2 linked regions of the Arabidopsis thaliana genome follow. The protein of the gene in region 1 interacts with the protein of each later gene in a pairwise test. Each region holds a gene or a part of one and is shown on either strand. Other genes may lie near its edges. The genes, in order: ATMRK1 and AT3G14710.

Evidence for each region.
Region 2: the proteins of ATMRK1 (region 1) and AT3G14710 interact in a protein complementation assay, tested with the Arabidopsis thaliana proteins (one large-scale study listed by BioGRID).

The regions. Positions count from the first base shown.
Region 1 is NC_003074.8:23,372,292-23,377,545, reverse strand, and holds ATMRK1 (Protein kinase superfamily protein), read left to right. Parts: upstream 1-2,140; 5' UTR 2,141-2,798; coding exon 2,799-3,123; intron 3,124-3,227; coding exon 3,228-3,349; intron 3,350-3,437; coding exon 3,438-3,649; intron 3,650-3,762; coding exon 3,763-3,937; intron 3,938-4,000; coding exon of another isoform or gene 4,001-4,018; coding exon 4,019-4,153; coding exon of another isoform or gene 4,154-4,219; exon of another isoform or gene 4,220-4,249; coding exon 4,250-4,456; 3' UTR 4,457-4,665; downstream 4,666-5,254. Other genes in the region: AT3G63270 (nuclease), read left to right, coding at 148-316, 506-750, 838-1,614; AT3G63255 (uncharacterized protein), read right to left, coding at 4,001-4,173, 4,260-4,374; HMT2 (homocysteine methyltransferase 2), read left to right, coding at 4,959-5,126.
Region 2 is NC_003074.8:4,939,487-4,943,686, forward strand, and holds AT3G14710 (RNI-like superfamily protein), read left to right. Parts: upstream 1-1,994; 5' UTR 1,995-2,058; coding exon 2,059-2,967; intron 2,968-3,063; coding exon 3,064-3,204; intron 3,205-3,290; coding exon 3,291-3,569; 3' UTR 3,570-3,578; downstream 3,579-4,200. Other genes in the region: AT3G14700 (SART-1 family), read left to right, coding at 1,222-1,836.

The sequences.
Region 1 (5,254 bases):
GCTTTAAGTTTACTTATTTTCTATGAAATGTGAGAAGCCCACTAGAGTCCAGCAAGCCAGCGACGTTCCAATTCCCATTTTTACCCTTGTTCCACCTCCAGTCAGACGAACCGCTTCTCCCCGGCTTGACCCTTGTCGTACTCGTCGATGGCTCCGGTGAAGCAGAAGAAGAAGAATAAGAAGAAGCCTCTGGATAAGGCGAAGAAGTTGGCGAAGAATAAAGAGAAGAAGAGAGTCAACGCAGTGCCATTGGATCCGGAGGCTATCGACTGCGACTGGTGGGATACTTTCTGGCTCCGAAACTCTTCTCCCTCAGGTTCTCCTCTCTCTCCTTCCCCGCTTTTCAGCCTGATTTCAGTTTAATTCCTCTTCTCCCCCATCAGTTACCACTAGTCAATGTCGTTTTGCTATTGCTTGACTAGATTGTTCCATCCTTTTGATTCCATGCTTTTGTAGCTCCTCTAGGGTTCTTTGAATTGAACCGAGAGATTGTTGTTGTTTTCAGTCCCCTCAGACGAAGACTATGCGTTCAAGCACTTCTTTAGGGCTTCTAAGACAACTTTTAGCTACATTTGCTCGCTCGTCAGGGAGGACCTTATCTCTAGACCTCCCTCTGGTCTCATCAACATCGAGGGAAGGCTTCTTAGTGTTGAGAAACAAGTCGCCATTGCTCTTCGAAGGTTAGCTTCCGGTGATTCTCAGGTCTCCGTTGGTGCTGCCTTTGGTGTTGGCCAGTCCACTGTTTCTCAGGTACCAATCAACCTCTACTCAGCTCCCTATTTCCCTGATTTCAATATATATATGCTGTATCCTGACACCATCCATTTGTTTCCCCAGGTTACATGGAGATTCATCGAGGCACTCGAAGAACGTGCCAAGCATCATCTTAGATGGCCAGATTCTGACCGAATTGAAGAGATCAAGTCAAAGTTCGAGGAGATGTACGGTCTCCCCAATTGCTGCGGAGCCATTGACACTACGCACATCATCATGACTCTCCCGGCTGTGCAAGCATCAGATGACTGGTGTGACCAGGAGAAGAACTACAGCATGTTCTTACAAGGAGTCTTTGATCACGAGATGAGATTTCTCAACATGGTTACCGGCTGGCCTGGCGGCATGACCGTCTCCAAGCTTCTCAAGTTCTCTGGCTTCTTCAAACTCTGTGAAAACGCTCAGATTTTAGACGGCAATCCTAAAACTCTATCCCAAGGAGCCCAGATTAGAGAATACGTTGTTGGAGGGATCAGTTACCCGCTTCTTCCCTGGCTTATAACTCCTCACGACAGCGATCATCCCTCTGATTCCATGGTGGCGTTCAACGAAAGGCATGAGAAGGTGAGGTCAGTCGCAGCTACTGCCTTTCAACAGCTTAAAGGAAGCTGGAGGATTCTGAGCAAAGTTATGTGGAGACCAGACAGGAGGAAGCTACCTAGTATAATACTGGTGTGTTGTTTGTTGCATAACATCATTATCGACTGTGGGGATTATCTTCAAGAAGATGTTCCTTTGTCTGGTCATCACGACTCCGGTTATGCAGACCGGTACTGCAAGCAGACCGAGCCGCTTGGTAGTGAGCTCAGAGGATGTCTGACTGAGCATTTGCTTAGGTGAGGATCTTAACCTTGGGAATTGGACATCTTCATCTCTTCTCTAAGGCCGTACTAAGCCCGTTAGACCATTCAGCATCAGTTTAGTGGTAGCCCGAGACATATCGGACAAAAGCAATGTTATGAAACTTTTCTTCAGGTATCAACACCAGATTAACATCATGCCAGTTGGACCTACAAAAATAGATTCATCCTTAAGTGTGATTACCATACTTTGTGAACTACTAATCTTTTGAGAGGAGTGGACTATATCCCCAACGGAACTGTTTGTTTTGGCAATGTAAATGTTATTTTTTTAATAATAATTGGTGTTTTCTTTTAGTATTGAGTTGTTGGGTTCCATTATATTCGCTCTCTGCGTTGAAAAGTTTGTGATTCTACGGAAAGGAATATGCTCTGGTGGATGCGTCTCGGTTTTGGTTCTTTGTGCTCACAAGTAACGACGGACGAAGATTCCCAACAAATTCACATGACAAACTATAAACTATAGTCTATAACAAATTACGTAATCTGATTTATTTCTTTATTATGAATTACACAATTAAATACAGTAGTCATCTTAAAGAGAGATTATTACAGTGGACCTTTTGGTTTCGATAGATTGCGTCACAAACCAAAAAGGTTATTCATTTCTCGATGTACAAATATTATTAAAGTCGAATGTAAATTTACAAGAAATTTGGGGGAAACGAATAAACGGCGACGGAAGGGCTGCCACTAGACCGAGAAGAAGCAAAGACAGACGAGCTCTGTTTTTGCAAGAGAGAGTTTTTTATAATAAAAACTGGAAAAGGGCAACAAAACGACTCTTTGGCCGGTGAAACTGTCAAAAAGACATTAAGACTTGGTCTCTCTCCCACTGCACCGCCGATCCTTCTCTACTTGTCAAACTATAAAAGAAAAAGAGTATTTTTTTTTGTGGAGACCACCACCACCACCTTCGATCGATTTCTACTAACTTGTTCTTCTTCTTCTTTCTCAACTCTCTTGTCTTTTGTCTCTCCACCAATTTTTTCTTGTTCTTTCTCTCTCCACCACATAAAAAAAAAAAACCTAGCTTTGTCCCCTCAACTCACTGATTGAACTGCTTGATTTTCGATTGATCATCTGGGTGGTTTTGAATCGAAGAGTATTGTTGTATTAGTGGCTGGTGGCTCTCCAAAAGAGTAAGGCCGGAGAGAGAAATCAATGGCCTCTGGCGGCGGAGAGGCGGATAAATCACTTGAAATCGGGTCCGGGACCGCGGATCCCAAAATAGGCGGTACTGGGAGCAGGAGCGCCGGAGAAGAACGATACTTCAGGGCAGATACACTGGATTTCAGTAAATGGGATTTGCATATGGGTCAAACCTCTACTAGCAGCGTCCTCACCAATTCCGCTTCCACGAGCGCTCCCGCACCGGCGATGCAGGAATGGGAGATTGACCTCTCCAAACTCGATATGAAGCACGTCCTCGCTCACGGTACTTACGGCACTGTCTACCGCGGTGTCTACGCCGGCCAAGAAGTCGCAGGTCCGTCTTTTCTCCTAGACTAAGATATATATGATTCATTAGGATAGACACTGGTGGTCTTTTTTGGGGATCTCCCGTCTGATGGATGTTATGGTTTGCTGCAGTGAAAGTGTTAGATTGGGGAGAAGATGGTTACGCCACACCAGCTGAAACTACAGCTCTCCGTGCTTCCTTCGAGCAAGAGGTCGCCGTCTGGCAGAAGCTCGATCATCCCAACGTTACCAAGGTATTCTTTTTACATTCACCGATTAAGGTAGAAGAAGAACCTTTTGATCAAAGGACTTATTCATTTGACCTCTCTCTCTCTGTGGCAGTTTATAGGAGCATCCATGGGAACCTCTGATCTGCGGATCCCTCCTGCTGGTGATACTGGCGGACGTGGTAACGGTGCACATCCTGCGAGGGCCTGTTGTGTTGTGGTTGAATATGTTGCCGGAGGCACGCTTAAGAAGTTCCTCATCAAGAAATATAGGGCCAAACTACCCATCAAGGATGTCATTCAGCTCGCTTTGGATCTCGCTAGAGGGTAATCTCTCCTTTACTTTATGTTTCCTGATTTGCCATTCATTTCTGAAACTATTCAGACAAAGATGCTTCCTTTATCAACAAAACTCTTCCTACCTTTTTTCTTTGTCTCAGGCTTAGTTACCTCCACTCCAAGGCGATTGTACATAGGGACGTGAAGTCAGAGAACATGCTGTTACAGCCTAACAAGACGCTGAAGATCGCTGATTTCGGGGTAGCTAGAGTTGAAGCTCAGAACCCTCAAGACATGACGGGTGAAACTGGAACACTTGGATACATGGCACCAGAGGTATGTAATGTTGTTCCTGTAGAGTCAAAATCCTTGTGTTTCGTAATAGGAAAGATGAGAATGTTAGCTTTTGTTGCATAGGTTCTTGAAGGAAAGCCTTACAACAGGAAATGCGATGTCTATAGCTTTGGGGTATGCCTCTGGGAAATATACTGCTGTGACATGCCCTATGCTGACTGTAGTTTTGCTGAGATCTCTCACGCCGTTGTTCATAGGGTTCCTCTCTCTCTCTCTGTCTATACATACAATCTCTCCTATGTTAAAGCTAATCAGGAAATCTAATGAAGTCACTGTTTGGTGCATCTTGCTCAGAATCTGAGACCAGAGATTCCGAAATGCTGCCCGCATGCGGTGGCAAACATCATGAAGAGATGCTGGGACCCGAATCCAGACAGGCGTCCGGAGATGGAGGAGGTGGTGAAGCTGCTTGAAGCCATAGACACAAGCAAAGGTGGTGGAATGATAGCTCCGGACCAGTTTCAGGGGTGCCTCTGTTTCTTCAAACCTCGAGGCCCCTGAATCTCTCTCCCTCTCTTTCCTTTTTGCTCCGTGTCTGATATATTCTTGAGAGCTGCGTGATTCTTTGGATTTTGTATTTACTTTGAGCTATGGGAGTTGGATTGGTGTGGGTTTTGTCATAAGAATCTTTCTGCGCTCTATGTATTTATATACTTAACACAGTCGTGTATAATTCGATTAAGCTTTATTTTATTTTTTGATGTTGATTCGAATTTCATATATACACGACGCACACATGCAAATTGATCATCAAAATCTGATAAGAAAAAAACAGAGAGTTAAAACTTACTTACAAGAGGGGTCTGAAGGAAACATAGAAAAGGATTGGGCCGATACTGTTATTAGTATTCAAGATAAAGGTCTAAACCTACAATTTGTAAACAAAATTAGTACTAAAGATTTTGAGTGTTTCTCTCTACAGTTTTTTGTGTTTATCGTATGTTTCACACAGTACACGCTTCAGTGGGAGTTGTTGGGTGATCGGTCCGAGGCGACATACAAGATGACCGGAAACTCTTTTAACTCGATGAAAGATTTCCTGAAGCAGACAGGCGGCTATGCGGTAATAGACGGAGGGCTTGCAACGGAGTTCGAGAGACATGGAGCAGATCTCAACGATCCTCTCTGGAGCGCCAAATGCCTTGTCACCTCTCCTCACCTCATTCACACCGTAAGCAGTAAATCCTTTTCTTCTGTTGTCAGTGAAATCTGAATCCAACGTCCAGCTGCGGGACAAGGCCTTGTGCTTTTCTTATTTTGGGTGTGAATAAACCCTAGGATTTTTAGGTTTACTTTGAT
Region 2 (4,200 bases), about 18 Mb from region 1:
AAACTAAAACCCAAGATAAAAGGATCGAAATTTACGACTCGCCCAGTATTTGTTCTTCATAAGCCATAACCAAACATGCAATGCCAATCAGACGAGTCGATTACCTTTTGAAATTGTGCTCAACAGTGCTCGCCTAAAATCTTAGAATCTCTTGAAATTTTGAAACAGAGCACCAATAGAAAAATCGATAACAACATTGGAGATTCCCCAAAATCATCGCTTCAGAACGCCCTACGGTTTGACTCGCTAAACCCCCACCCTCCGGAACCCTAATTTCAGAGAACAAATCGAGAGATCAACGGCGAGATTCGCGACAAGGTTCTGACAGCGTTTAAGTTCGGACTGAACGACAACGCTGTTAAGTGTTCGACTGTTGGTTTTTACTTTTTACTCTTTCCGTTTATCTAAACGACGTCGGGTGGTCCTGCGCTTGAGGTGAAAATTCAATTTATTGGCTTTGGGCTTGAGGTGAATTCAATTTTATTGGTTTGTGAAAACATGTTTAGATATGACCATGTTTTCAAAAACCAAAAAAACTAGACAAAAACATCTCCCAGACTATTGCAATTTTTGACATAAAACTAGTCTTTTCTCAAGTTTTATTTGGAAAAAAAAAAAACTACTTTAATCCATCGGATCTAAAGTTTCTGATTCCAAATCCGGATAGTTTTTCTGGTTGGGCCTTTTGTAACTGGAGAGCTACATGTAAAGTTTAATAGCCTTCCCATTTGAGAGAATTATAGTATTAAAATTATTATGTTTTTGTTAAAAAAACTACTTTCATATTTTCCTCTAAATATAATGCACGGTATATACCCTGACGTGGATTTCGGCTTTTATTTAGTTTCGGCTCGTGCGGTGCAAGGAAATTCTTCTAGTCATCATCAGCCACCAAAACTGGCTTCTCAATTAGGGCTCTTGGTCAATCCTTAAAAGTTCTATTGATTTTCATCGACTACACTTTTTTGGCGAATTTATGTGATTGAAGTGGAATCTAAGATTGAGGTTCTTTGTGGTCTTCGGTTCTCGATACATCATCATAAGGTATTGAAAGTTAATTTTCTTATTCTTGTTAGGATTTCTAACTAAGATAGGTCAAAATATAACCTAGATCTCTCGTATCTCTATCTATATATACGTCACAAGGTATTGAGAATTCACTCATAGCTTCTGAATTTCGCGGTGTCGTGTTTCTGTCTCATCATCGGGGTTTTGATAAAGATGTCTCAGTCCAAAGTAGCTATGAAAAAAGATTCGATGAGGAAGAATAAGAAATTGGTTATAAATATTGCTCTAGATAAAGAAGTTCTTGCTTCGAGAGTGGAAGCTGATCATGATCTTGGTTCTGTAAGAGATGAGAAAGAGAGGCTTGAATCATCAGAGAGACGAAGAGAGGTTTGTTCCAAAGCTGAAGATATTGTTGATAAGGCCATTGATAATCATTCTAGGGTTAGAGGAGATGGGATTATGCGGGAAGCTGATGTCGGGACAGGGTTATCGGGCGCGTTAAACCGTCTTAGAGAGCAAGGAACTTTCAAGGAGGAAGGCAAGGTTGTTGGTGTTAAGGACAATAATCATGAAGATGACAGATTCAAAGATAGATTTAAGGATATACAGATTCAGAGGGTGAACAAGTGGGGAAGGATAATGACTGAGAAAGAAGCGTATCGGTCACTGTGTCATGGATTCCATGGGAAGGGACCTGGGAAGAAGAAGCAAGAGAAACAGAGGAAGAAGCATGAAGATAAGTCAAAACAGATGGAATCTTCAGAGAGATCTGTGGAAAGAATAAGAGAAATTCATGCCATATCCAAGACTCCTTACATTGTTCTCTAGTCATAAACTTCTCTTTGATTACGATAATCTCAAAGACATTTAATTAAGAACTTCATAAATTTGGTATTTTGCTTTGATATTCTTAAGAGTTCTTGGATGTTTTTACATCACATAAAACATTGCTTTTCACCTATATATGTTACCATTTATTTTGGTATAATCTAACGTTTTTGCATTCTTCTTTGGAATTATATTTTGGTTTTATTAGGGAAACGATTTTCAATGCATCCCGAGACAGAGCAAGCCTGTTTAGTTCCATCTTCCAAGAAGACTAAGCTATGCAGTGAGAACTTTGAAGACAAATTCAGCAGCTTGCTTGAGAGTGTTGTTAGCATAATTCTTAGTCAACTTCCAACTGCTGAAGCTGTTAGTACTTCTGTGTTATCAAAGTCATGGAAGAACATTTGGACAAACATCACAGATTTACATTTTGATGATACAAAGCAGAGGGATCCGAGTGATTCTCGATTTACTGACTTCGTTGAGCGTGTGGTTGGCGACATTGGAAGTCCGCACATTAGCAGTTTCTATCTATGCTCTGTTAATACTTTCGATGAGACTCTTCTCTTCTCGTGGTTATCAAAGGTACTAAAGCGCAATCTTCAGAGACTTGTTGTCACTTGCAACGATCTAGAGATCATCAGTTTTTCTTCACTTTTTCCTAGTTTTGTTTCGCTTGTGGAGTTAAGGCTCCGTACAAAAAGCATTCTTGACATTTCGGCTCCCGCTATTCTCCCGAACCTTAAGTTCCTTAGTCTCGAGGATGCTAGAATCTTCAACATGTCTTCTGTCTCAAAGAACCTCGTTCTGAACTTTCCTGTCTTGGAAACTTTTGAAGCCTCTTATTGCCGCTGCTTTAGAACCGATACTGTGATCATAGACTCTCCATTGCTTAGGATCTTTGAGATGTTCAAGTGTACATCTGAACACGTACCTAATCCTTCTCAAGTGTGTAAGATCAGGGTGTTAGCTTCAAAGCTTGAGAAAATCACATTCTGTGGAGACGAACCCCGAAAAATCCATCTGTCTTTTCCACCGTCTTTACCTGATGCTTATCTTGCCCTCAGCAGATCCGAGTGGCCCAAGACGTTTCTACGTAGCTTCACATGCGTGACGAGTTTGGCTCTCGTGGTTAGATAAAAATTACATTACATCTTCCTCTTAACTTTTCAAAGCTTTTAATGGCTCAAGTCACTCACAACTCTTTATCTCAATGCCCTTTCTTAGCTTAGCAAGGATTTTCATGTGATGGCAGTACCCAAATTCAGCCAGTTGGTATACCTGCATTTGATATACGACATGACACAACATTTTAGATTAATGCAGTTCCTTAAATCCGCACCAATACTCGAGATGCTCAGCATCCGCGTAAGTCTTAACTATATCGAATGTTGTGACAGTACCAATATCTTTTCTCTTTGGCTGATCTTGCCCTTTTCCGGTGAAACAACCAGGACCTGACATCTCCTCGTTCAACACCTACTGCAAAGTCCTTGAAGGAACTACGTTCAGTAGAATCTCCGGATTGCGTTACAACAATGCTCAAAGTCCTGCAGATCAGGAACTTTAAGCCAAACAGGCTACAGATATCAGTGTTGAGGTACGTGTTGGACAATGCTGAGATTCTTGGATCAGTCATCCTTTCCTCGCCCAATCCAATCACAGAAGAAGAGAAAGCAAGAATCTTGGCTTTTCCTAAAGCCTCTCCCCATGCCTCTGTCTTGTTCGAATGACCAAAAGTTGACCTTTTGCAATTCTCAGTTCCTTGTGGGTTACGGCAAAGTTATTATCTTTGTTTCGATCATCACTGAAACTTTGATATTAAAACTCTATGTGGATTCTCTGATTCAAAGAAAAGAATATGCCTTTTGGACAAGTTTTAAAGACAGAAACAAGTGTTGTTGATGTGCCCTTAACCACATGCAACTTCTTCTGCCACTCCCACTTGGACCACTTCTATGCATTATATTATGATTTGTTTATATGATGCAGCATCCTCTATTGTCTTCTTTTATCACCTAGTTTATTGCATTATTTTTTGTATAGTAATATAATTATTTAGACTAAATCTTATGATAAGAAATGGTCCTCTGTTTTTCTGGTTTTAAAGATTGAAAAAGAAGTTTTGGAGTTATGTGTAAAAGATACTTTTATTTTAGTTGATGTAATAGGTGACACAAACTTATTAGCGTAATAATTTTGATAGTGATGTGTTTTAAATATTGAACTATAAATTAGGTTCGTTGATTTTAGAAGGCCACCAAACAAAACAAGAAAAAGTTCTGCTTGGCAGAGATATTTCGGCTCTTATAATTTACACCACTTTAGAATAAATCCAAAATCAAAGAAAAGTTATGTTTCATG